Oryzias latipes: one gene and its partners. The protein of the gene in region 1 interacts with the protein of each later gene in a pairwise test. Links are inferred from orthologs where the notes say so. Each region holds a gene or a part of one and is shown in the gene's direction. Other genes may lie near its edges. The genes, in order: lnx1, memo1, cep72, mtmr9, hsbp1, blvra and fhl3.

The links.
Region 2: the proteins of lnx1 (region 1) and memo1 interact in binary tests that used the Homo sapiens proteins (3 or more experiments, as listed by UniProt). The two-hybrid records come from large-scale screens. The link is inferred for Oryzias latipes from reciprocal best matches to the Homo sapiens genes LNX1 and MEMO1.
Region 3: the proteins of lnx1 (region 1) and cep72 interact in binary tests that used the Homo sapiens proteins (3 or more experiments, as listed by UniProt). The link is inferred for Oryzias latipes from reciprocal best matches to the Homo sapiens genes LNX1 and CEP72.
Region 4: the proteins of lnx1 (region 1) and mtmr9 interact in binary tests that used the Homo sapiens proteins (3 or more experiments, as listed by UniProt). The link is inferred for Oryzias latipes from reciprocal best matches to the Homo sapiens genes LNX1 and MTMR9.
Region 5: the proteins of lnx1 (region 1) and hsbp1 interact in binary tests that used the Homo sapiens proteins (3 or more experiments, as listed by UniProt). The link is inferred for Oryzias latipes from reciprocal best matches to the Homo sapiens genes LNX1 and HSBP1.
Region 6: the proteins of lnx1 (region 1) and blvra interact in a two-hybrid assay, tested with the Homo sapiens proteins (3 studies listed by BioGRID and IntAct). The link is inferred for Oryzias latipes from reciprocal best matches to the Homo sapiens genes LNX1 and BLVRA.
Region 7: the proteins of lnx1 (region 1) and fhl3 interact in a two-hybrid assay, tested with the Homo sapiens proteins (2 studies listed by BioGRID and IntAct). The link is inferred for Oryzias latipes from reciprocal best matches to the Homo sapiens genes LNX1 and FHL3.

The regions. Positions count from the first base shown.
Region 1 is NC_019862.2:726,583-730,082, forward strand, and holds part of lnx1 (E3 ubiquitin-protein ligase LNX), read left to right. Parts: intron 1-895; 5' UTR 896-946; coding exon 947-1,401; intron 1,402-3,500.
Region 2 is NC_019873.2:27,908,076-27,912,249, reverse strand, and holds the start of memo1 (protein MEMO1), read left to right. Parts: upstream 1-1,374; 5' UTR 1,375-1,793; coding exon 1,794-1,854; intron 1,855-3,857; coding exon 3,858-3,939; intron 3,940-4,011; coding exon 4,012-4,080; intron 4,081-4,174. UniProt on the Homo sapiens protein: May control cell migration by relaying extracellular chemotactic signals to the microtubule cytoskeleton. Mediator of ERBB2 signaling.
Region 3 is NC_019874.2:16,684,699-16,688,919, reverse strand, and holds the start of cep72 (centrosomal protein of 72 kDa), read left to right. Parts: upstream 1-1,421; 5' UTR 1,422-1,513; coding exon 1,514-1,589; intron 1,590-1,739; coding exon 1,740-1,867; intron 1,868-2,047; coding exon 2,048-2,240; intron 2,241-2,322; coding exon 2,323-2,431; intron 2,432-2,759; coding exon 2,760-2,911; intron 2,912-2,988; coding exon 2,989-3,047; intron 3,048-3,129; coding exon 3,130-3,172; intron 3,173-3,534; coding exon 3,535-3,735; intron 3,736-3,990; coding exon 3,991-4,172; intron 4,173-4,221. Other genes in the region: uncharacterized protein LOC101162471, read right to left, coding at 66-599, 829-912. UniProt on the Homo sapiens protein: Involved in the recruitment of key centrosomal proteins to the centrosome.
Region 4 is NC_019882.2:13,972,578-13,974,727, reverse strand, and holds part of mtmr9 (myotubularin-related protein 9), read left to right. Parts: coding exon 1-72; intron 73-170; coding exon 171-391; intron 392-504; coding exon 505-656; intron 657-2,150. UniProt on the Homo sapiens protein: Acts as an adapter for myotubularin-related phosphatases. Increases lipid phosphatase MTMR6 catalytic activity, specifically towards phosphatidylinositol 3,5-bisphosphate and MTMR6 binding affinity for phosphorylated phosphatidylinositols.
Region 5 is NC_019864.2:28,979,185-28,983,249, reverse strand, and holds hsbp1 (heat shock factor-binding protein 1), read left to right. Parts: upstream 1-1,265; 5' UTR 1,266-1,382; coding exon 1,383-1,427; intron 1,428-2,102; coding exon 2,103-2,169; intron 2,170-2,305; coding exon 2,306-2,430; 3' UTR 2,431-2,432; intron 2,433-2,515; 3' UTR 2,516-3,384; coding exon of another isoform or gene 3,385-3,487; 3' UTR 3,488-3,941; downstream 3,942-4,065. Other genes in the region: DNA topoisomerase I, mitochondrial, read right to left, coding at 3,385-3,487. UniProt on the Homo sapiens protein: Negative regulator of the heat shock response. Negatively affects HSF1 DNA-binding activity. May have a role in the suppression of the activation of the stress response during the aging process.
Region 6 is NC_019875.2:5,296,403-5,300,624, reverse strand, and holds the start of blvra (biliverdin reductase A), read left to right. Parts: upstream 1-1,422; 5' UTR 1,423-1,497; coding exon 1,498-1,523; intron 1,524-1,545; exon of another isoform or gene 1,546-1,702; intron 1,703-3,880; exon of another isoform or gene 3,881-4,222. Other genes in the region: cytochrome c oxidase assembly factor 1 homolog, read right to left, coding at 597-748, 954-1,047. UniProt on the Homo sapiens protein: Reduces the gamma-methene bridge of the open tetrapyrrole, biliverdin IXalpha, to bilirubin with the concomitant oxidation of a NADH or NADPH cofactor. Does not reduce bilirubin IXbeta.
Region 7 is NC_019874.2:23,737,279-23,741,506, reverse strand, and holds the start of fhl3 (four and a half LIM domains protein 3), read left to right. Parts: upstream 1-1,428; 5' UTR 1,429-1,716; intron 1,717-4,228. UniProt on the Homo sapiens protein: Recruited by SOX15 to FOXK1 promoters where it acts as a transcriptional coactivator of FOXK1.

The DNA.
Region 1 (3,500 bases):
CAGGCCTTTTATCTGCTTCACTCATAATGACATAAGGGAATTGCCCTCACTTGCCCATGCAATAGCATGGAAGTCAATTGTCCAATTACTTACAAGCCCCTGAAATGAAGGGATTGTGTTAAAAATGCTTTAGTTTTTCACATTTTTATGCAACCTTTTTGTTCAACCCATGGAATAAAAGCTGAAAGTCTGCACTTTAATGACATCTGAGTTGTTTTATTTAAAATTCTCTCTGTCAAAATGTGTCTCTGTCAAAATATTTATGGTCCTGACTGTATATATATATATATATATATATATATATATATATATATATATATATATATATATATATATATATATATATATATATATATATATATATATGTGTGTGTGTGTGTGTGTGTGTGTGTGTGTGTGTGTATATATATATAACAAAAATGTCCCCATAGTATCATTTTGATGTGCAAAAACAACAATCATTGCTAAAATAAATCTCCCAAATGTCTTTCCCATTTGTTTGAAACCTTTTGCCACTATGTTTTTGTTATTGCAATGTTTAAATTTCTTATTAAGGAATGTTGTTAAAAAATAATCTTCATGTGTGAACATTGTTTTCTTGCAATTCCTTTTTTGTTGTTAACGGCTGGGAAGGTATTAGAAAGTTTAGCATTTATTCTGCTGAGTGAAACTAAACTTAATAAATCATTGACCAACAGCTTCTTTCTAATTGGAGAAAACAAAAATTTGAAAGTTTGCATATTCTTGTTTACTTTTCCCAAAACAGCAGAGCACACATGTATAAATATCCTAAAATATTTTACTAACTTATTCATTGAAGGGGCCTTTTGAGTGCCAGCAGAAACATGCACATCTTGTTGTTGTCTTACACTGTTTGTTTTTCTGTTTGTCCCAGCTCTCTCTGCAGATGAATTCTTTACAAGGTTTATCCTGAATCTGGCCTACAATGAGCATACCAGAGGAGAGCACTCAGCCGGTGGGCGCCACCGCAATGGTTGAGGCATCCGCTGAGCCTCTCTACCCATCTAACCTTGGACTGTTATCTCCGCCTCCTGATTTATGTGCATCATGTGGCCACAGTCACAAGCTGGAGGAGAACCATGAGTACTTGTATCAGGACGAGGTGGATGACGATCTTGTCTGCCAGATCTGCCTGCAGCCGCTCATCCGGCCTCTGGACACGCCCTGTGGACACACCTACTGCCAGGAGTGCCTGACCAGCTTCCTGCTGGAAAGCGATTTCTGCCCTGTGTGCCGTGACCCCCTCATGCTGCAGAGCTGCAGGAAGCCCAGCCTGCTGGTGCACAAGCTGCTGGACAAGCTGATGATAACCTGCCCTTTCACAGAGCATTGCACTGAAAAATTGGCCCGAGGACAACTGGAAGACCACATCAAAAACAGGTAGGTTGGTGTAGGCAGGTAAACCACCACCAGAAAACCCAAGCAAGCTTTTCTTCTGCTCTTTGATTCTTATCAAGTTAATAATGACTGACAGTAAGCATTCACTTTGAGTTTCCCAGCCTTCTCTACGCATCATCATCAACCCGCAGCTCCAATCCCAATGAGGACTGTCGCTCCTCCCACCAGGCTCTTAACTAGGCAGACCAAACTGTCCTGCCTGTATGGCAATAAAACACAGAGCTGGGGTTTCTCTGCTTTCATTAATACTCAGCAGCACTCTTCCAGCCCAAACACTGTTGGGATAATCCACACATCTCACCAAACACACAAGCGCCGGGGTTGAACATCAAAACACCAGCTTCCTAAATCTCCTTTAGCACAAAAAAAGAGACGTTTTCTCTCATTCAATTCAATTCAATTCAATTTTATTTGTATAGCCGAAATTCACAAAAACAGTCGTCTCAATGGGCTTCGTATCGGTAATTGAAAAAGTGAAACATAAACTCAAAAGGATCATAAATACATAGAGTTCAATAGGAAAATACTAAATTGAACTAACCAACTGACTAAGCTAAACTGACCCCCATTCGCAGTAAGGAAAAACTCCTAAAAAAAACGGATTCCGGAAAAAACGAAGAAACCTCAAGGGCGCCCACATGAAGGAGGGATCCTCTCCCAGGACGGACAGGTGATTTACCAGAACTCATAAAGAAGAATTAACTTATCTAGCTCTATAACTACACATTTAAAGTCCAGCAGACAAGCTTCATACAGATGGAGTTGGGGGGACAGTCAGGGGCGAGCCAGAGGCAGGATCCACAGCCAGGTGTAGAAGCAGGAGCAGAGACGAGGTACACGGTCAGGAACAGGAGCACGGATGAGCCACCTGGAATCTGGAAGCACTCCCACTCCCCAGGAGGGGAGAGGGAAAGAGGGACAATACATGAATCGCACTGCACCAAACAGAGGCATGGAGAACTAAATGATGAATAATGATCAAGAATGGAGAAGAGAGGAAGGGTAGAAGTAGATGAGAAAAGAGGGCAGAACCCCAATGCACCATAGTTACCCCAGCTTCAACTTCTAGCAGCCTATTGTCCGATAATAATCCTGTCCAAAGAGGAATGTTTTAAGTCTAACTTTGAATGTAGAAACTGAGTCGGCCTCTCTTCCATGAGCTGGGAGTTTATTCCATAAGACAGGGGCTTGGTGGCTAAACGCTCTACCTCCAACCGTACTTTTACTAATTCTAGGAACCACAAGCAGTCCTGCATTTAGTGAGCGAAGTGTTCTCATTGGATGGTAAGGGACTATGAGGTCCTTAATATAGGACGGGGCCATTCCATGTAAGGCCTTATAGGTTAACAGGAGGATCTTGAACTTGATTCTGGAATCAACTGGGAGCCAATGGAGTGAAACTAACACAGGAGTGATGTGATCTCTTCTGCTAGTTCCAGCTAACAATCTAGCTGCTGCGTTCTGAACAAGCTGGAGACTTCTTAAGGATTGTTTATTTTTTTTGATTGATTGATTTGATTTATTTAAGTGTCATGCACTAATGTGCCCAGCCCACACAGGCTTATATGACACTGAAAGACAAAATACATAATACACAAAGATACATGCTCATCACAAAAATCCAATAACCCCCCTAATCAGAGTCTATCAGAATACAAAGTGTCCATTCTTATTGTCCATGCCCTTGACACAAAATTTGCCAAACAAATTTCATTTTCAAAAAGCCAACGTAAAATTTTGTCTTCAGATAACCAAAACTCTTAGGACATGCTGCTAACAAGGAGTTACAGTAATCCAGTCCAGACGTAACAAATGCATGGATGAGCTTTTCAGTATCACTCTTAGAAAGTATATTTCTGATCTTAGCAATTGATACTGTCCCCCCTTTCCACCTCTGCCCCTGTAGGTTTTCACTACAAGGGTTGTGGATCTCAGAGGCTGGGTCCCACAAGGATCGGGCTGCTCTCCTGTACTAAGAGAGTGTTATATGTGGAGGTGATGGGCCATGTCCTCAAAGACGCCTGCACTCTGTGCATGGATGTGGAAAAGTCTCACTGAAAAAACCATTTCAACATTTCCAT
Region 2 (4,174 bases), on another chromosome or scaffold:
CAAACGCAGTTGGTTTGCGCTAACAGGGCCGCATCTAACCCAAAAGCTCAACTTTACACGGTACTGTTTGTTTTTGTAACTCGAATCCGGTAACAACAAAACCGAAACATCGCTAGCTTCCGCCTGTCTGGGAGAAAGCTCCGCCCCCTCGTTCTGAGAAGTGTTTTCAAGGCACTGCCGCTGACCACACCGCCCCCTGCTGGAGCGGCGTAAGATTGCAGCAACTTTATTCTCTTTTTAACTATTTGATTGATAACACACAAATTCCCTTCTAGAAATCCTAGAATTTTTGGAAATGTCAAAATGTCATTTTTGAAGTTCAAGGCGACTTTAAATATAAACACCCTACAGCCAATATACAACCAAAAAAAGATACGGAATATTGCCGGTTTAATTTTAACTCCATTGAAAGACAACAAATAAAACTATTTGACAATCATTAAATTTATTTGATCAAATATTTATTTTGTGTACTGCAAAAATTATTGCAATTAAGTCCATTTATAATTAAGGGAATTTAACCTGTTAAGAAGATGGCATCATTTTCTTTCATCTTTGTTAATATTTTTCATTTTCCAATCAATGTATGACTTTATATCTGAAACAGGTTGGACATGTTTTGTGATTTTTATTATCTTATACCTTTAATTTTAATGCTCATAATAAACCAATAAAATTGAATTTAACAATTTTTTTTATTATATTTGACAAGTATTGCTATAAAAATGTTTGAATTAACATTACACTAAAACATTTCTGTTCAGGGTCTGAAAAAATGTTGAACAACCTCCAAATAAAAGTAAGAATAAAAATGTTAAAGACAGCTTAGATGAAGTAGAGCTTTAATAGTCTGTATTTTAAGTTACAGATAGGGAAGAAAAGTTAATTGATTTAAAGAGTATGTGGGGAAAAAAGCAGTTAAAGGCAAAATTAAATAATACGTAATTTGAATAATGTGAACATTTTCTTTCTAAAAGTAAAGAAACTTATTGTTGTAGTTTTTTTGTTTAACAAAAAAAACATCATGGTAGATATAAATTCAGTGTTGTTTTTTATCTTTTAAATGTTTTTGTAATGATCAAAAAGTGAGTAATATTTTTTTTATTAAAACATATGTAATAAGTACAAATTTGTAATGAGTAGTGTTTTTTGTCTAAGAAATCTGTAATGAAAAAAATGTTTCTGTAATAAATAAATAAAATGTGATAGATAAATTATTTTTTAATAAATAAAATTAATATATATGTATATTTAAATATTGTAATAAATATAAATGTATTTTTCTTCTCGTTCAAGAAATTGTATGGCAACCCTCCCGGGACTGGCTCCGCCTCCTGCAGTGAAACCACCAATCAAAACGCAGGACGTCACTTTGATTACAGTTTTCTTTTACCTGGTTCTTCACAGCGTTCAGTAATCTTCTGATTCTGGCAGTGACAACAGTCTAGCTTTAATACATTTGGTCCGTGTTGGTCTGGGTTGGACAACAATCTATTTTTGATTTATATCTTTTCATATTTGCTGATAAAAACAGCGAGACAGTTAAGTTGTTGACCTAACCTAAAAAACCGGCATCTAAACGGGCCGGCTGCCAGTACATTAAGCTCGTTAGCTAGCAAGCTACACTGCCTTACAGTGAAACTGCCCTTTGTCTTTTTAGTAGGCAAGTTAGCTAGCAGGAGCGTTTTTGCCCTCTCTGGGACAACTGAGCAGAACGTATCGGTTTAGTTTTATTATTTTTATTTTCTTATAAACATCTTCAGCGAACCAAGATAGGCAGCTTGGGAACCAAGATGTCGAATCGAGTGGTGTGCAGAGAAGCAAGTCACGCCGGGAGCTGGTACTCCGCTTCGGGTAACTGTCAAAACAGCACGGTCCGCGTTAGCATAATGCTATCTGATCATCATGTACATTTCTTTCCTTGACACGATTTGTGAAGCATTAATATTGTCGCTTTTATGGCTTTCCCAGTCTACAACATTTACGAATTAATAGGTGATCTAGAGCAAAGATGACAATAGTCCGCAGTGTGGTGAACACTAATCCATGATCCAGCAGATGGTTTTTAAAAAAAAAGTCGCCCGGTTAGCATTTATCCGACAATCTTCACCTCAATTCTCCCAAAATATTCGCTAACTGAATCCATGTCGCTAGGTGAACTCTAAGGCTGACATGTCACTATAAAAACGAACGTAATTCTCGATTAGAAGACCTTTAGTTAGCTAGCTATGAAGCTAAAACCTTCCTGGCCTAGCATGCTAACAGTTTTGCTACACCAAAAAAACCGTCCACAGAGCTTGCTAAACGACTTTTATTCACTCCACTGGAGTAGTTTTGAGTTTATTCCACTCCAGTTGTTTTGTGTAAAAGTTCATGTTCTTGCAAAGCAAAACACTTGACACTGACAAAAACCAAAACAAAACTAAAATATGATTGTTTTGGTTGTTGCTGCTTCATCCCTTCCCCCATTTTTTGAAGCCCTGTTTTTTACCCCTCATGTCAGCCCATTTCCTTTTCCAAAAACCAGTTTGCTGCTCCGTCAAAGACGAAGCACAACAGTTTATTGCGACTTAAAAAAAAACATCTTATTGTAAGCGCATGCTTCAAATCAAACTTTATTTATAAAGCACTTTCAGACAGAGGCAACACAAAATGCTTCACATAATAAAAGCCTTTTTCCAACTTAAAGACCCGCTCCGATGAAAATCATTTTTTATTGTTACGTGTTCTTGTGATCTTTTTTAAATGATAGAGGACATATAAGTAGAAAATCAAGCTCGAAATTGCATTTCTGATTGTTTTATTTCTTCAAATCATTATATGAATCAGGATCAGGCCAAAAAATGTCGTTTGAAAAACAAAATATTTGTGACAAAGTACTCTGGGCGAGACACTGCTTCCCTTTTGTTGGACCGGTAATGTTAGGTCATGTGCGTGAGGGGCTGCTAGCTAGCGGGAGAACGTGTAAACAGAGAGCTCTCAGCAATGGGGATGGGAGGTCCTCCACGGCAACGGTCCCGCCCACAAATCAGAGGCGAATTTCTAATGAACTCCTACCGCTGTGAAAACAACACAGGATGTTGGGTAAAAACGCCATAATCCTAATTAATAGACCACTGGGAACACTTTGAAAATGATGATCGGAGTGGGACTGTAAATATATAAATCACGTTAAAATGAAAAGCGTGGTTAAATTGTCACACAGCATAACTGTAGTCACGACTGAATACCTGTTATTTGACTACATGCGTATGTTATTGACATGACCCAACAATTATTAACATCAGTAAATATTATTTTAGTGCAGTTACTTTTTTACATACAAAAGAGAAGTAGTTTACATCTAATTTACTGAACGAGAATGCAAAATTCTAATTCATTGTGTTATGATTAGTTATTGATTTGGAGGGATCTTTTGTCTGCGGAATATAATGATTAAATTGTATATATAAATGGATTAATAGCTTTTTATTAATGGTTTCAACTATGGATCCAACTATTTACTTCCCCCTTGATTTGGTTCAATCTTTGATTTTTTTTTTTTTTTAGTCACAGTTTTGTTTTGGTTCAAAATATGATTTGATTTTACAAAAAATCTAAAAAAAAAAAAAAAATTTGTTGCGGTTCAAGTCACAATCAGGAAAACCTTTCACTTGGCTTATGCTAAGCCTTGTGTGATGTAATAAAACAATAATTCTTCTTAAGTCTAGCACAACTCTATACTTTGGATGTAAACGTACTGGTATTCAGTCGTTAATCAGAAATGCATTGTATTTTCTCGTTTACCCTCAACAATTACTACTTATTCTAGAGACCGTAAATAATGAATTTGCATGCTTGTTGTTAAATGTTTGCAGGATCCCAGCTGAATGCACAGTTAGAAGGCTGGCTGTCCCAAGCGCAGTCGACCATCAGACCCGCCAGAGCCATCATAGCGCCGTAAGAGCATCATAAAACGCTCTCGACTTCCTTCTATGTTTTCATTCTATACTGACACGTGTTTGTCTGCAGTCATGCTGGCTACACCTACTGTGGTGCTTGTGCAGCACATGCCTACAAGCAGGTTGATCCCTCTATTACGTAAGTGGCGTAGCTTTGTGCACCAATTCTTCATCTTTCCGTGTTTTTGCAGACTCCATTGCATTCGTCCTCCACGGAGCATGTGCTCATGTAG
Region 3 (4,221 bases), on another chromosome or scaffold:
ATAAATGTTAGACATTTTTCCTGTTAAGTTCTTAGCTCTGTGCAAAAACATGGAGTTTCTCCGGTTCAAATGTTAAATCGATCACTAATGTCCAACAGAAACTGTCCCAGAGCTCGTGTGGACGCCCAGCAGCCCACTGACAGCAAAGCGTTTAAAAGCCACTTCACGAGTCCTTCTGTCGCAGCTGGAGACACAAGTGGAGCAGCAACAGTGGTTTCTACCTGCTGCTCCATGAGTAATGGCAAACTGAGGGCTACACCTCCTACAGCACCCAAAACATTACCAGCAAACAGACACACCATCAGGCAGCAGGACAGAGACGACAGACCCAGGCAGCGAGTCAACACAGTTAGAGTTTCAGCCGACAGCCAGTCTGAGAGTCCCAGTAGCAGACAGGAGCCAATCAGGAGGGTCCATGCGGTGCCGTGATCCTCGCTGAGCCACAGGAATTCAAAAGCAACCAGCACTGGTGCCAGCACCTCCCCAGCCCAAGTGGCTTGCTTTTTGAGAGAGGCCAGGTGTGAGCTTGAAGGCAGGAGGACCCAAAGCGTGGCAGAGAGACCAAGCAGGAAGAGGCCTATTGAGGGGCCCCTGTGATCCTGCAGAACATGAGATTATAGTCTGTTTAATATATTGAGAATTTGTGACCATACTCTTAAAGGGAAAACATAAACACACTGATGTTGACGAAGGCAAGCATAATCAATTTTATAAAAGATTACTTTTTAGTAGCTGGTGTATTATAAAAAAAAGCCTCATCTTTATTGAAGTATACTCTGTTTATCAAAAAGCATTCTACAAGTTTTAAATATAAAATAAGAGACGAACCTTGAAGAGTTTGCGTGAAAAGTATAAAGCTGTGGTGGACAGAATGATGTTACTACAACATGCCATCCACTCTGTTGACGCCATTCAGGAAAGCGCGCCGGAACACAAACCTGCAAACACACCGGAACTAAAGTGACAATATTTTTACTTAAAGTTCAAATGAAACTACTGACGCTGCCCCTTTTTATAACTGGACTGAACAGAAAGACTAAACTTTGGGGCAAGGAGGAGCAGAACAATGTTTGTGTTCACACGTGACAGAATGTCTTCAGAGCACTGCGCATGCTCCAAAGGAGGCGTTCAAAGTCCCTTGTAAATTCTGAGACGTTGTCAACCATATTAATAATGATCAAACTAGCAAAGATCGGTTAACACTTTTTGTTAAACGTTATTTATTCTTGTTTTATTGGAAATATAATTCTTTGTTTAAAAAAAACATTTTAGGTTCTGTCGAGTAAACGAGTAAATCGTTATTTTTAGGTCGCTGTTAACTACTAAAAAGTTACCATTTTAAAGAGGGTTTTGTGTTAGTGTGTGACATACTCATGCGACAGAGTATTTAACTGAATTTTTTCCTCATAAATTTAAAACTTTACTCCGTTGCACACTGACTGTGTTATTTTTGTTTCTTTCATTGAAGTCGTTTTTTCACGACAGCACTTGAAGGCAGCAAAGTTTGAAAAGTATGGCGACGGAGTGTCTAACAACAATCTCAGAGCAATGGATACGCGACAGATTACAACTAAAACATCCGTGTCTCGGTAAGAGTTTCATTCACCTGTGCATTGGAAAAACAAAAACCCCGCGTAAAACATTTTTTCTGTCTGACTGAAAGCAGATTAGCTATTCAAAGCTATTTTATGATGAACCGTCATCTTTTGGTCATTCATTGTTGTGTGTTTGATGCGCAGGTGATGTCCGGTCACTGAGCCTCCCAGGAACGTTAGAGGAGAAGATTGGACATCTAGGGAACGCTCTGAATAACTTCATTCGCCTGAAGTCTCTGGATCTTTCCTACAACGCCCTGGTTTCTGTGGAGGTTTGATATTTTTAATTTTTCTTATATTAAGAAAATACTTTATACTATAAAAAAAAGTCTCTTCAGAATTTATATTAAACTGATTTCAAATCACAGTCATTTTTTTTATTTTATTTCATGTGACTATTATTTCCATTGTTGGATGAATGCTTACAAATCTGGTTCCTGTTCTTTCTTTAGGGGCTGCAGCATTTAAAAAAACTGGAGAGGTTGATTCTTTATCATAACTGCATACCATCTCTTGAAGAGGTGAAAACTCTGTTCCAGCTTCCTGTTTTAAGAGAGCTGGACCTCAGGCTCAACCCTCTCACCAAAAACTGCCCACACTACTGGGCTTATATCGTGCACGCCTTGCCCAGCTTGCGAAAGCTTGGTAAGCTGGAGTCATCTGGGCCTGTTTTTGTGACTGTTTTCTGTCAAGTTCCCGACATCGTAATGAGCTTTTGGGTTTGCAGACAGCTGCTCGGTCAGAGAGACGGAACGCAAAGTTGCCATCATGCAGTTCTCCTCTGATCTTCCTCCTCAGCAGAAGAGATGCTCTCTGAATCTGGCTGAAGATCAAAGGTACGCCGAGCACAAAATCAGTTTAATGCACAAAACCTTCTTAATGCAGGCTTTAAACACCAATCTGGTCTAAATTCAGAAACTGTATGGAGCTCAGATGATGGAAATCCAGCGGTATATTATAAAGCTGCAATACACACACTTTTATCTCAAGGTTTTTTTCATCTTGTTTCATCCTTTTGTAATAAATCTATTCGTTAATTTCCATCAAACCTGCTTTCTTAAACTAGCTTGTTATTGAAGCCTGGAAGCATCAAATATGTGGTTTTTAATGTATATTTCAACCTTTTAATTAGTTATTTCTCTGTTCTGTGCCTGTTGCTGTCAGAAGCAGCAGGTTTCGTCTGGCTTTGGTCGACCGTTTGACCAAGAGGCTGTCACTCTCAGCAGAAAGTCAGGATATTGTGTTAAACAGAGTCGAGGCTGACCTTGGAGACCAATCTAAAAGAGTCAGCGACTCCGTTTACAGGAAAGGAGAAGGTAAGGACCCTTAAAGGTAATTTTTAATCACACCAAACCTGCTGACGTTCTTTCTTCACGTTGAAACCTTATTCTAGAACCCAAGGAGGAAATATTACAAAATTTCACAGAGAAGAAGAGTTCAACTCCAAAACAGGTGACTTTCTTTTTCTCCATGTCTGATTAAAAAAAAATAGTCACCCTATGCTTGCATGAATGACGGCACCCTTTGCTTGTAGGAATCTACTAAATCCATCCTCAGATATTCACCCAATATCAATGGTAAGTGTGTTTTTGGGTATTTATTTAATGATTTAATTATCTGTGTGTATATCAGAGCACTAGTAAGCAGATGGATTGCAGCAGTTGCTAAAGCAGCTAAAATGTATTTAAGTTGGTCTGAATAAGAGATTTTGTAAACCAATTCATAATGCATCATATTTTTCCCTAACATTTAAGGAAACAGTTCATGGCAATAAAAAGAGATTTTTGGTGGTGTTTGCCTCATTGTTGACTAACTATAATATTTTCAATTGTTTAAGCAGAAACATAAATGTCCACCAGGGAGAGCTAGATGTCAACTCCATAAAAATGTCTGACACTAAAAGATGAAAACATATTTGTGCCTTTCTGTGAATTTACAGATGTTGTTGTATCCAGAGGGCTACAGATGAAGGAGACACCTCCAATGAAAAACTCTACCTCATCTAAAGTAGCTGAAAGGCCTAAAGTGTCCTTCGGTCCTTTTGTAGAGAAACACAGTGCAGACAGAGGACTTCCAAACCAGAAGCTGTCCTTTAAACAAATCAGACACGAAGCTAAGGGCCATTTTACTCCAAACCCTGGTTATATATATATATATATATATATATATATATATATATATATATATATATATATATATATATATATATATATATATATATATATATATATATATATATATATATATATATATATATATATATATATATATATATATATATATATATATATATTTATTTATATTGTGTATTTAACAACTGCTATTTATTGTGGAATTTTGCCAAAGTTCACATTCCTCACTTCCTTGGAACTCTGAATGTACATGACTTTTTCAGATCAAAGCCAGTGTCGTAGCACCTCATTGATCAACATCCGTCCTGCCAGTCCACTGCAACCCGGTTTGACTCTGTCTGAGTCCTCTAACCCCATCTTACACCCTGCAAGACTCACCTACTCTAGCATCAACACGGCAGACGGGAGCAGCAGCCTGAAACAACAAGCTGGAAGGAAAAAAAGGGTTAACATTCAGTTCAGCTCTCCGACTGATTTATACTCTAAATCATAAA
Region 4 (2,150 bases), on another chromosome or scaffold:
CAGATTATTCTTGATCCGAGCTGCAGGACCATCAAAGGCTTCCAAAGACTGGTGGAGCGGGAGTGGATCCAGGTTTGAACTTTAAACGTCTCTGAAAGTACAGGACAGAAAGTGATCATTTTTGCAAATTCCATTTTTAGCATTCGTCTTTTTGATTGCATCTCTCCCAGGCAGGTCACCCGTTCCAGCAGCGCTGTGCTCAGTCTGCGTACTCCAACAGCAAGCCTCGCCACGAGGCCCCCGTCTTCCTGCTCTTCCTGGACTGCGTGTGGCAGATCCTCCGACAGTTTCCCTGCTCCTTCGAGTTCAATGAGAGCTTCCTAGTGCTTCTGTTTGAACATGCCTACGCCTCTCAGTTCGGTACTTTTCTCTGCAACTGTGCAGCCGAGAGGTAAGATGGATAAAACTGATGGTAAATTTCATTATGTCTCCTTGATCTGAGCTTTACTTTTGGTGGAAGGATCTGAAGTAAATGACATTTGGTTTTTGTCCCCTTTTTATCAGAGCTAGGCTCTTTCTGCCTGAGAAGACTGTATCTCTTTGGTCGTGGATGAATCGGCCTCAGGAGCTGGAGCACCTGACCAACCCCCTCTATGAAGCCAACAGTCTTGTAATCTGGCCGTCAGTGGCCCCGCAGAGCCTTCTGCTGTGGGAGGGTAAGCTGCACTCCAAAAAAATGCAAAAAATGTCTTGCGTCCAATTTTGAGTTTTATTTCCAAAATTGACGCCACAAAACATTTCTTTTACAATATATTGACTCAACCATACTTGCTTTTATTCTAATATGGGTCTCAAATATATCTGATGTAAACACGATCATTTGGTTGATATGAGTTTATGCAAATGTCGCCCAAAAAAATCTGTTTTTTTGCCTTTAAAACGGCTTTAATCTTTACGTTTTCAGGTTAACTAAAATCAGCCTTAACTGACATGTAACACTTTACATCGATGCTTGGCTGAAGGTGTCCTTAATATCACTAAAAATACAAATTCACAGTAATATTTACACAAACACTTTTTCTAATTTATGTCGTTTTTCCCGTTTTCTTTCTTTTCTGGCTCCCTAAAATCTTACCAGAAGGGGGCGCCTTTATTTCAGTAAATTAAAGGCTTGAAAGTCTTTCTAAGCTGTCTTGGATGAAAACACTTTAATTTTTCTGTATTAACATTGGTTTTTGGTTGCAAAATGTGGCAAATATACCTTTTTTTCTCTTCACTATACAAAATAAGGCATCAAATGGTGCTTTACAATGTTTTACATAAATCAGTTTGAAGCGTCACTTTTTGTAAAGACAAAATTCATTTTCAAAAATATATTGCTGCAGAACTTAGGTATTTTTGCTGTTTTATTCTCAGGCACCAAGAATAAAGTCAATTTTTGTTTGATTTGTACAAATTTAGACCAAAAATGAATGAGAAGTTTCACCTGGACTATTTGTTTTTTTATTTTATTTTGCACGATGGCTTTTGGAATCCCATCAGCCTTCCTGCTCCCTATGTGGTCAGTGCTGTAGGTGTGTCCTCAGTGAAAGTTGACACTGAACACAGTATAACATTTTACAACCTGTCCTCCGTCAGTGACCATATGCAGGCTAATCTTAGACCTGTAGCACATTCTTACACTTGGCTGGTAAAACCCTTGAGGTCAATGTTTCAGAAAGATTATGTCAAGAAAGTTTTGCTAAAAATTTCATTTGAAAAAATGTGAAATTGTTCAATTTGAATGGCTTAGATAAAGCCACAAAATAAAATGTGATCAAACTAGTGATGCCAATGAAGTCTCTAATATATTTTTGTTTATTTTTTGTTTGTTTTTTGGGGTTTTAAAGTTCAAAAATGTTTTTTTTTTTTTTTTATTAGACATTGACAGAGAGAAGTTGGGCTTGAGAAGAGCTGTGTGCATTTAGAGGTGAATGGGTCCAAGCTTTCTTTGTTGGGAGTCTCATGCCCAGCACTTTATCCTGACCCCTAAATTCTAAATGAAGCTGACATCTGAGAATCGCCACGGCGCGTGAGCTCGCGCTGATGAGGCACTCACTTGAAAATGACTATTTACCTCCAAAGGCCCCGTGGAGGATCAGGTCTCCAGTGGCTGATGGGAACTGATAGTGTGTGGTGAATCTGTGAAATCCCACAATCTGTGTCCTGGA
Region 5 (4,065 bases), on another chromosome or scaffold:
ACACCGATAGTTGAGTTACACAGATGACCTGCCTGCTTTCAAAACACCCTTAAAGCTTTAGCTCCATACAGCGTACCCAGGGACTTTCTCCCTTGTGTTGTGCCTACAAAAGCATGAGGTGCGCATGCCAAGAAAATACAGGGAGGTTACAAAGGAGGTGGGAACATTTTTTTAAAGTATAACTTGACAAAGATTTCATTCAGAAAATCGTGCCAAACTCAGCTAAGACGTCACCACTGCTGTAACTTAAGCAGCGCTTAATTTTGAAAAGACAAGAACAGCAGCAAGACATTAAACACCAAACCTCAGCATTATGGCAGGAGTTTGAAGAGCAAAAGTCACGTCTAAGTTACATATAAAGCTCAGTAATTGTTTGCTTCTGATAAAAAAAGTTACAGGTTATAATCAGTTAGACTAGGCACAAGCCTGGAGGAAGTTAAAACCCGTTCTAAGGGAACCTTTGCACAATTTATTCAGTACTGTGAGGCTTCTGCTATTTCCTTTTGTTTATGTGTTGAAAGTAAACACTAACAATGGAAGCTGAAATGTACCGAAGCTTCTTAAAAGAGGAAACTCAATGTTATGTAAGCGGAGCATATTTTCACGGGGTAGGGCCAGCAGTGCCTGCTTCTTCATGTCACTCAGGACTTCCACACACATCCATGCCGGAGCTGCTGCTCCTTTGGGACAAACTCAATACAGCTGCAGTCTCGTTAAAAAAAATAAAACTTCAAGAATGATGCATAAAAACCACGTGGTAAGCCTGAGTTTAAAGCAACCGTGAAGTTTCAGCCTATTGCACGCGTGCGTAAATCTGAACTTTACGCAAACAGCCGCATTTCTGATGCACAACAGCACCGTCAGTTTTCTGCTTTACTCACCGATCGCCTTCAGTCCAACAGAACTTTGCCGTCTCCCGCAGTGAATTCGGCGTGAAAACCCGCCGAGTTATCCCGCAGCTCCAACTTTCAAATCCCAACTCGCTGAGGAGGAGGAGAGACGTGTGCGCGCATCCCCACACACACACGGCTGCGCATAAACACACACAGGTCTAGAATTTCCGCTTCAATCTTACAGCTTCATGTTTTTCTTTTCATCTAAACATAAGAACGTCAACTGATTTTTCAAATGTGTTATTATTTTATAAATATACATACAACCTAATGTTTGTCGTCAATCCACAGCATTATTTGTATCGAAGGGTTCTGCAAATTCACCGATCTCAGCCCATGAGCAAATCTCGCGAGACTTGCCGTGTTGTGGCACAGCTGACTCTCCCGTGGGTGGTACAGGCGAGCAGAACCTTGAGGCTAAATAATCGAATATAAAGCGCCTTAAATTTAACCGCCGTGAAGGTCCGGACATACAGTTTTATTCACACCATGGCTGAAACAGATCCCAAATCAGTGCAGGACCTTACTAACGTGGTGAGTTTGGACCGTCAAGCTAGCTAGGACTAGCTATATGGATGTAGCTAGCAATGCTAACTATACTGCTAACAAATCAAATGCAGGTTGCATCTAAAGGAGTATTAAGTTTGATTCCTTTTTGCCTTTTCCCCCTTTGTTTTACCACTTGACACCTAAATTCTGATCGATCTCACTAAATATTTATTAGTTTATCACCATATAAAAGACATTGTTAGCTGATTAGCACTTCATCCTGACTAATTTAATTTACATAAATCTTCTTTAATCAGCATTTTCAATAACAAGTATATGAATTTACATTTTTATTGTAATAATAATAATCAGCAGTTCTCGCAACACCCAGGTTACTTCTGTTGGTGTGGATACCAATAGTGTTGCCATGGAAATGAACCAAAACTAAAGGTCTAAGTTGCACCTCTACCTACTAAATCACAGACTGTATTCGATTCTTCTGAAACATTAGGTGTTGATTAGTGTGTTGACTGGAAGATGAAGGTCTTAGCTCCTTTTTAGTGGTTTTTCTCTCACATGCAGCTATGTCCAGAGTGGGGTATGTGAGGAGGGGACTGAGAGGGCGGGAAGCGCTTTTGGGCCGCTCACAGCTTGATCTTGTACTGTTTCTTGTTGGGTTTGACAGATTAAAGTTTGTGGCCTTCTTTTGTTTTTCTAAAGGTCCAGACGCTCCTGCAGCAAATGCAAGACAAGTTCCAGACAATGTCAGACCAGATCATCGGGAGGAATATCCTTTTTTGAAAGCCAGAGCTCTGATGGTCGTCTTTACATTTCTCATACTCTACATCAAATGTCCCGGTGTCTTTTTCTACAGGACTCCAGTTTGCTTAGAAAAAAAAAAGATTTGCCTTAACAGTGTCCACTTGATGAGATGAGCACACGAATCGATGACCTGGAGAAAAACATTGCTGACCTGATGACCCAGGCTGGTGTGGAGGAGGCCGAGGCGACACCAGAGAAGCCGAAGGAGAGCCAAGGATCATCATGAAGGTGAAGAAAAACGGTCTACCCCTGTAGAATTTCTTTGTTCTGGTAGATTTCCTAATCAGCTTTATTTTCTGTCTGTCCCACAGGGTCAGAAATGATGTGAAGTCAAAGTTCTTTACCGATGACTTCTGATTTGGTGTGAAATGCTTTTTTTAAATATATATATATATAAAATGGTTTAACGGTTTACAGTTATGTCATGATGTGAGAAGTGGAGTAGTAGTAATCTGAATTAGTGTGACCTGCCCTTCAGAATTGTGTATTTGGTGCCCTGACCTGGACGTTCGAGCCGCCAGCGTCGGTTCTTCTCTCCGGTCCGTGCTTGGTAACGGGCCAGCAGAACCTCATCCCAACACGATGAACCGCGAACACCCGGAGCTCGCAGCGCAGCACTGTTGGCAACGAGATGCAGAATGCATTCCATTTCTGATTTTCTATTAAAGCGATGTACGGAGCAGTTTCTCCTTTTTGACCAGGTGCTGATAAATAGACCACGGTGCTAAGAGTTTCTACATTTTCTCTTATGAGGCAGAGTCGTCTGATGCCACAGACCTTTCATAACTACTGAATTCATCCGATCTGCAGGTTCAATGCTCTTTGTTGTTCATGAATTTGTTGGATTCTGACGTGAAATGAGCAGAATTGGAAATGTGCCACTTAACGAGTGTATAACTAAGATTTTGCCAAATTGAATGATTAAAACATCCCTTATTTTACCGCATGGTAGGAACCTTTATTCAAGTGTATGCAAACAAAATGTAACAGACCGTCTTCAAACCAAAAGTAGCAGTAAACATCCATTAAAGTGCAGCTTGATTATTGAACTGCAGTAGTAGAACCTCAGCACTTCATAAACATCCCCTCAATACAATATTCATTTACTCTACATGGGATAAAGCAAAAGGTCCCTGAGCTGCCACTTGGTGTGAGTTTATACGTCTGTGGAAGTTCAGTTTCAGAACTCGAAGTCGTCCTCCGTCATGTCGATGGCCCAGGCGAACTTTTCCCGTTGGGTTTTGTTGTAGATTTTTTCTATAGGCACCTCCATGTTCTTACACCTGATTAAAAACAAGAACAGAAAAGCGTTCAACCACAAACAACTGAGTATTACAACTGCAGAAGAAAAGTCTTAAACATACAATGGGGTGAAGAGAAACCTTGAGTTTATCGTCCTGAACGTTTTTCAAGCCAAACTTCACCAAATCGTTGCAGAAGAAGCATTTCTCATCTCTGGTTTAGCACCAAACCCCACTTTCCTTTGGTACAAGCAGCATTTCTATGAATTCTGAAGTCTTGGAACAATTGGCTGATCTCTATAGAAATCAGGTCGGTCACATGGTGAAACGTCAGATCAGTAAACTGGAGGATCTGTTGTCTGAATGAGATCAAGTGACCACAGATCCTAAGAGCCCAGAATCAAAGTTAACGGATGGAATCTGGACATTTCAACACTGCAGCCTAAACCAGAAACTTAACAAAATGTGTTCTTTACAATAAAAATCTATTAAAACATTTCTGTTTTTGGGTGTGTGTACGAGCTGGATTCGCAGTAAAATAAGGGTTTGAGTGACGGGGCTGTTCTGCCCACTCAGACGTTTCTGAGGATCGCTGACGACCATCAGACCGAGCTGGAGGT
Region 6 (4,222 bases), on another chromosome or scaffold:
TTGTGGAAATCAAACAATGTTGACTGTTCCCTTTCTATATTTTAACTTACCAAAATAAAAGCACTATGAATTTGCTTTGGTAAATGGAACTTATACATGAGACGCAATTGCAGCGCTTAACATTGTGATCATTTAATAAACTGAATTTGACCATTTTATTGCAGTGGATGACATATTGAAATTCAGGTTGAGTTTTTTCAAAGCCATATTTAAAGAAAAAAAGAAAATATGTTTTGGTAAAATTTTGGGATACGTATCGTATCGCCAGACTCTTGCCAATACACAGCCCTAATTTGAGGTGGGACAGGTTTCAGACCTAGATTTGACAAGTAACAACTAGAATTCTGCTGCTTTTCCTGTTCTGGAGGATGTCACACAACTAAACTGTGTGTTTAAACTGGATTTATTCTGCCTTCTGTTATGTCGGCATAAGCAGGCTGCATACAAATGCACAGAATTAATTTGTGAATATTTTTTTCTGCCTAATACTTTGTTAGCAAAAATAATCCTATTTTTCATCTTCCTGTGATAATGGAGAAACTGGTCAGTTTACTCATCATCACACAGCGGCTGGACACCCCCCTGACAGACTGTACCTGGGCTGCCTGATGGTCCACACGGTTGTATCTGTCAGTCAGATGGATGTTATGAACTCGTAAGGGCGGGGCTCCAAGGCTCTCCATGGCAACAGGACACGCCTTCAGCTGTCGCACAGCGAGTTGATGGTATTCACTCCCAGCAAAGTTTTCTGACGAGATAGCAGAAAAGAGAGCATGCGCACGTACGTGTGCATGAGTCACAGAGACATGAAGGGGCTGCAGCAGAGAGACAGACCAAGACATTTGCGGGTTCCACTCCTAAACCAGAGCCACTTTCAGACCGTAAAGCGGAACCAGGAGTTTCTGTTTTGAACAGACTATTGCTTCAACGCGTGCACGCACACATGCACTCACTCTGCATCAGGTAGTACATGGTGCCAACGCCCCCACCCGTCAGGACGGTAGTGAAGATGGTGAGCCTCTGCAGATGGTGGATGGGGACCCTCATGGTGCAGCTCTTCCTGCACAAAAAAGCAAAGACAGATGAAACGGAGCCACGATGGCGGCTGAGCTGCAGACACCAACCTGAGAGACATGATGGAGGGAAAATCATCAGAGGATGCTGCCAGAAAAATGACTTATAGAGAGGAACTCTCTAGGTCTACAGCTCTGGAGTCCTGTCCTGGTTTCTAATTTGTTGAAACTTTATTTAAACAGGAACAGTGTACACAAATCCCAGAGAAAACAGGAACATTGTTCTGATGTTTTTTTTTTCTCCTGCAGGAGGAAACATTTCCAAAAATCCGAAAATAAAGATAAAGCATTCACTGTTGAAAATATTGGGATGTAAAAAAATGCTTCTAAAAAAAAAATCACCGACTACGAGGCACCGACTGGGCGGGGCCCTTTTACGTCATCGGGAATGTCCTGTCAGCTGGTCGAAATGGCCTCTCCATGAATGCTGTGGCGGACAAATGCGCTCAGGTGAGTTCAGTGTCACTCTTACCTGAACACATGCGGCTCTACCGGCGCGTGCTCTTCCCTGACCCCTCCCCCTCGTTTGCGCGGTTCTCCGTGAGCGTGCGCCGCTCTGCTGCAGGTTAGATCCGGAATCCGTCCGTAACACGTGTTCACGTGGGTTTAAATAGGGACGGTGGCCTTTGTCTTCTTTCTTCTATGCTTATCGGGGGTTTGTGCCGCACAAAGGCTGTTTACTGCCCCCTGCTGGACTCTGGACGCGCTGCACTAGATGAAATATAGAGGAAAATGGAACAGTCTTCTTTACAATTCAGTTTTTCCTGGACATGCAGGATAACTTCATACTGCTAATAAAAGCTGGCTTTCTTTCTTCGGTCTATATTCTGCACCATTTTAATGGAAATAAACGGGTTTTATCACCACTCTAATCAAAGTGTTTGACTGCGATCCGGGTAACCTTTGAGCACCTGTGGTTTACTAAATGTACATCATGTTTACGTGTTTGCGTGGACAAGAATGCCGCCCCATACACAGCACGGATATGGAACATTTTTCATTGTTCAGGCTGTTGTGTTGTTGTTGCTTCGAAACCTTTGAGAAGCTGCTGAAAAGAGGAAAAGTAGCTTATGCACAGAGCTGCACCAGACTGCATGTGCAGGAGACAACACCACCATGCAGACAGGGATGTCAGTGTTTCAGACTTTGCTAAGAAAAGTGGTAGGAGTTGTGTCTTAGAGTTAAATACATGTCCTCGAATGGATGGAAGAGCGGGACTACTGAAGTTGGATAAGCTCCATCGGGGAGGCCGTTAGCAAAGAGAGATGATTTTTAGAGAGAATACATTACGGAGAAACATTTAAATGAAGCACACCTGTTAACAGATACATATTAATAAAAACAGGATGATGCTTCTAGATATATTTGGACAGGACTGGTGATCTCTGACATCACCCATAGGGCTCTGAGGGCAAAAAACCCACGAGGAATACTAACCTCTCAACCGTCTCTTCGACTGCTGTTTTGGGAGTGAAAGCAGTCATTGTTGGTTCAATTCCCAGCTCTTCCAGTAATGTAGTATTGAAGTGATGTTGGGCAGAACACTACAGTAAATCTGTGAGTTAGGTTTAGTTTTTCCAACTGCATTTTTCCATCTGCTCGTGATTCAATTATTTGGAAAAAGCCACTTTAATCTTTATATATGTTCATTCAGAATGTTCTAAAAGAACATGTTAACACCCAAAATACAATTCTCATCGGAGTGGGTTTTAACAATAACCACTGTCCTAAAAGTTTATTTTTCATTCTCATGTATGAGAAAATACACGTGAATTGGGGGGGGGGGGGGGGGGGGGATTCGGACCCATGGCCTTGTTTTGGTTTAATAATGGTTCCATTTAAGCAGTGTGATGCTGCTTCCTGTGGACTAGGGGGTATGAATCTTCGGACACACAAGGTGTATATTTACATAAACCCATTTTGGATTAGAGGCTAAACTTCATCTATTCTCTTTATGTTTGTATACATTTTTTGTTGGACTGGACAGAAAAGAAGAGGAGAGAAGAAGAAAGTGGGATGTTAGAGAGGGGTGGGTTAAGGGTACTAAAGAGAGGGGAGGAAAAGGGGGGTAAAGGAAGTTGGAGGATTACAGAAGTGGGGGGGGGGGGGGGTAGAATTACAAAGCAAGAAAATGCTAGAAATTTAGCCTCATCACTTTTCAGGTGCAGATGTTAGTCAAAAGGGGCGGGGCCTGTCCACACACTCAAATAATACAAGCATACCTGTTGGCTCCCAAAAAACACAAACATGTCAACACGTACGTCCTCAACATGTACACAATACAGCTACAGCTCACACGCACATACTTATGCATACAAACCGACACATGCAAAGCATTTCCTTCTGTCACGCATACTATTTGTGCAAAGGTGAGCTGACACCTGGCCCCCCGACACCCTCGCTGGAAAGCACATGGAGGAAATCCACCCCTGATTTTATTTATTTATTTTTACAGTTACATAGTCATTATTCATTGTACGTGGGGGTCATGGGACAGACACGTAAATTACAGTGCTTTCAGTTGGCTCATTAAAAATTAAAGTTTCAATGAAGACCAAATGGTTGTTTTTGAACCTGAAACAGACCGACGTGTTCACATGCTCTGTTAGCAGAGCTGCCCTGTTTTTTTTTTAGAATTATGAGAGACTAAAGAGTCTTTCTCAAAGAACAGACGGAGCTGGGGAGGCCAGGTTCCTGCGTGCTCAGCTCTTGAGAGACAGAGCATCCTAACTCAGTCTCATCCCAAAACGAGGAGCATCTGCACAGGAGCCTCCTTATGTAAGAGGCAGTCCGCCCCCTAGCGGCGGACTCTGTCACTGCACCAGTGAAGATCGCGCGCGGGTCACGTCGGTACATCCGTACCGGCCGGCGTGCACGCGCCGAGCACCTCAGGCTGTGGGTTCACGCGCTCCTGAGGTGACTGCCAAGGAAGCAAGCGCGTGCGTGAGTTGTTTCTTTTTGGACATCCCCCCTCCCCTTCTTTCAACTTCCGGTTGTCACCAATTACTTAAGAGGTTACATCACGCGGGCGCGCGACACCAGGGTGGCAGTTAAAGGCGTTTTCGGCTTCAGCTGCATCAAAGCCAAGCCGAGCCGAACCGAGCAGCTGCTGCCGTGCACGTGCGCACGCTTCCCAAGTTCCAGGCTGT
Region 7 (4,228 bases), on another chromosome or scaffold:
TGCATGGTAGCTCTGACACCATCTGTGTGCATGGGTGAATGGGATTTGCCATTGTAAAGTGCTATGGGACATAACGAATATATCTATTTATGCTATTTACTTCTCCTGCGGCAAGCAAAATGTAAAGGTAAAATTAAAAAGCTGGTGGGCAATGCTTGTGAATTTCAGTCTCTTTTTGTTTAGTTTGTTCTTGCATCAGTCCTCTAATTCATAATCTCTGTTTTTTGATTGAAGACCTAAAAATTGTTATAAAAAAAGAGCTAGATTAACTTGATGTTAGTAAAGATTTAGATAAATAATTTCTATAAATAACGTAGTACATATGTCAATAATGTAGAACTAAAGGGGTTGTGTATTAATGCAACAACTACTGAACCAAATAGATTGTAATTGATTTGTGATTAAATACGAATCAATTAAATGTTGCTTTATTTCATCAATTTATTTCCAAAACCAGTTTTGATTAAGAAAACATGTCTTTTAAAACAAACAAAAGTGGTAGCCCACTTTTATTTAAAAAAGGAGTCTTACATCAACAGTAAAGAGAAAGCGTTTTTTGTCTTTTTTGTCTTAAAAAAGAGAGAAAATATCTTAAAAGGAAAGGCAATGCATGAGTTTGAATAGTTAATTCCATTTTCTTTGTAAAATGTCATTAAATTCTATTAAAAAAATCTAAATTAATAATGATTCGTGTTTTTAATGATTAACACTGAAGTAAAGAGCATTCACTTTGTCAGAGCATAGGTCAGCTTAATCCTGAATAAGTCGACTTATTCGTTTGTCTTAACACAAATGAATCATTTGAACTTAAAACACTGTAAAAAAAAGAGGAATGTAATTTAACAATTAGATCAATCTTTAACCCTTCGTGGTCATTTTTGGAAGGATTGTTTATGTCCCTCCCTTTCAAAACAACAACCATAATAATAATACATATAATCCTGTGATGTAATTTCATTGATGGTTTTGCTATTTTTAAAGAAATCCTTCAGAAGCCTCCAGCACCTGTGGTCCACACACTCAAACATCTCATGACATGCAGGCTTCACATATTCTGCTCTAAACTCAAAACAAACAAAATTCTATTATAACCCACTGCAATGCAATGTTGAAGAGACAAAAGAGCCTTGCAAGAATCTCCCCTCTTGCCTGCATGGGCCTTTTCCACTCTTGTTTGAAGTCGCTGGAAAGAGGGAGGGAGGAATGCCTTTTTTGGGGGGGCGGGATCTTGTGACTCACCAGCAACTTCCTCAGTAGTAGGACAAAAGTAGCCGGCAAGCTGCACCCCTCTGTGCTGCAGAGTTTTCATGCTTTGCTTCCACTTTCGGCTTCTCCCATCAGGGGTCGCCACAGCGAACAAGTCGCATGGTAAATTTGGCAATGTTTTACGCCGGATGCCCTTCCTGACGCAACCTTCTCAAACCGGGCTTGGAACCGGCAGAGGTAGAGAAGGGAACAGGGAGCAGACCGGAGTCGAACCCGGGTTTCACGAATGGAAGGCGCCGCAAACCAGCACGAGCTAATGACAAGCAGATAAAACAGAACGTTTCAGAGCCGGAGAGCGACACTCCTGAGCTTTTTCTGTGAGCTGATCCCTGTGCTGACCTGAGCGGCCGTGTGCTGACCTGAGCGGCCGTGTGCTGACGGGAGGAAGGCGGCTGGATCACCACCACAGCAGCTTGGAAAGGTGCCTCCACACTTCAATCAGTCTGACTGGTAAGAAGAGACATTTTGGCTCCATCATTTTCATTGAGTAACCTGTTGATCCTAAATCAAACACAGGTGTGTATGAATATATAAGATAATCTGGGTTCTTTCAAGTCCATTACTTAGTCCTTTATGACTGAATGAAAGTATAGTTGGGGGGGAAAGGGTTTTGAGAGTAGGCTCAACCAAATATCTACAATTCCTGAAGTAGAAGTATCTGGTTGCGTGTTTAGACATTGTCTAAATTTGCTGTTGCTGTCTTTAACTTTTTCCCTTCCCTCTCATTCAGTAATTCAGTTGTGTCCCTCTGTACACTCGTAGAGTGTACAAGGCGGAGGAAATATAAATAACATCCTTCCGATGAAGAAACAGACCATATTAGCTTGTGTGACCCTCTGAACTGTGCATATGAAGGATTCAGGAGCAACTGTTTTGTCAGAGAAGTTCAAGCTGAGCTCCAAGTGAAGCCTTCACAGGACTAAGTCCCACAGGCGAAACTTGCCTCTTTTTTTCTGCAAAAGGGGAAAGTGGCAAATAGCAGTAAGAGTGTGCAATGGGTGTGTCTATGCTGTAGCGTCTGGAGTCGTGCAGCACCTCATGGTACGTGTCATTGTGATGACAGTTTGGCTCACCTGCTGGGTCATGTGGGTGCAGTGGGAGGGTGAGGTGGTCAGCCTTGACTGTAAAAAGTTTAACAGTCTGTATAACAGATAGAGGAAGAGATTGTTTTAAATCGATGCCTTTGGTTCACAAAAAGCTCTTCCTTAAGCTCTGATTGAATATAGTCTGCTGAAACAGGCAGCAAAGAAAGAACTGGGGGTTGTTCTGACATCGGTTGCAAGAGAATCCCAGAATTTTTGGGAGATTAAAAGGTCTTTCACAAACAACTTAATCTTGATTTCCAGACAGAGAAAAATTGCATTGATTCTTCATGATCTTGACCCAACTAACAAACTGCAGCATGAATAAAAAGAAATAATGTCAATGTCCTCCTCTTAAACATAAGCAATCCTTTTTCTGCAGTATAGAACATACATTTTAATCTGCTGGTTTGTCTCCAGCGTGGTAGACAAAAAGAAAATCTCCTGATCCAACTGTGAGTAGATGCAAGAGAAGATACAGCTGCAGCCTGGACATAGAAGTCAACATGGTGCTGTAGTATGCCTCTTCTAAAAGTTTTTGGTCTGAGGAGTGCTGGGGTGCTCTTGCCACCTACAGGTTTTTTTCTTACATGGTCAGTAAGGATAACCAGCAGAGGAAACACCCTTTAACTACATGTCTCTTATTCGGTTCCATTTAGCATCTGGGAAGTTTGCCTTGACAGAGCATACAGAGCTGCATAATGTCATTGTTTGCTTTTTTCCTCCCACCGCCTCCATTTCTTTGACCATGGTCACATTCTTCAGAGGTCCCAGTGTTTTCCAAAGGTTAGCTCTGCGTGGTTTTTGGACTCTGGCCAGTTCCAAAACTGCAGCAGGACTGCAACCAAATAATTTGAACTGGTTTTAGCAGCCTTTATGTGTTGGCACCATTTGAAACCTGGCCAATGGTAATGATGGAGGAGTTGGCGGTCAAGTGTTTGCAGGTGGTTTTTGAGAGCAGAATTGGAATTTGCGTTGATGTAGTCCTCTTGTGACATTGTGCAGCTGTGTGTTCCTCCATTGGCACAATTTGTGCTCGTGTAATTGCTCAGTGCCTTAAAATCCCACGTGTGGGTGTCTGATCAACAGTCCTACATCACAGAGTTTCGTTTGTCTTCAACTTCTACATAGTTTTACTCTCCACCTTCACTCAAAATGTGAAGTACAACCCAATAATCAGGTGCCTGTTTGAAAAGCTTACTTATTGAGGTCTCAGTAATAATTAGTTATAATTTTGGTGGCACTGTCTATTATCAGTACCTGCTTATCCTTGTGGAGTGTCAAAAGTTCAGGGCAAAGGCGGGATGCGGCCCGATAATTCCATCACAAGGCTTTGGTGAAGTTAAATAAGTCCGTAATGTATTAGGTTTTGGTTCTAATCTTTTTGGGGTTTTTTCTGTAAAAAAATGATTAAAGGTGCTATAACATATAAAGCTTTGAAAATCACAATAAAGATATTTTGGAATTTAAAAAAAAAAGGTGCTATGACAATAAAACCATAATGCAGTGCCCTGGATTGAACCTCCTCAAACAGCTATGAGAACAATAATATTGGTTTTGTCATTTTGTGTGTATATATATATATATATATACATATATATATATATATATATATATATGTGTGTGTATGAAAGTGTAGCACTGGAACTTCAGCATGTTTAAATTGGTTGTTATGGTAGTCAGTTCCCTCCTTGGTAGGATGTGGGGGCGCGTGGCTGGCTGTTGTAGTGTGTCTGCATTCCCTTAAAAAGGGGGGAAGTGACCTCAGATTTCCTGTGAGGGGATTGCCAGGTGCTGTAGTGTTATTGTGAGGGTCGCAAGGCTTCCTCCGTGGATGCTTTGTTGGTAAATGTCTGAAACTCTATCCCCTGAGCCAGGGC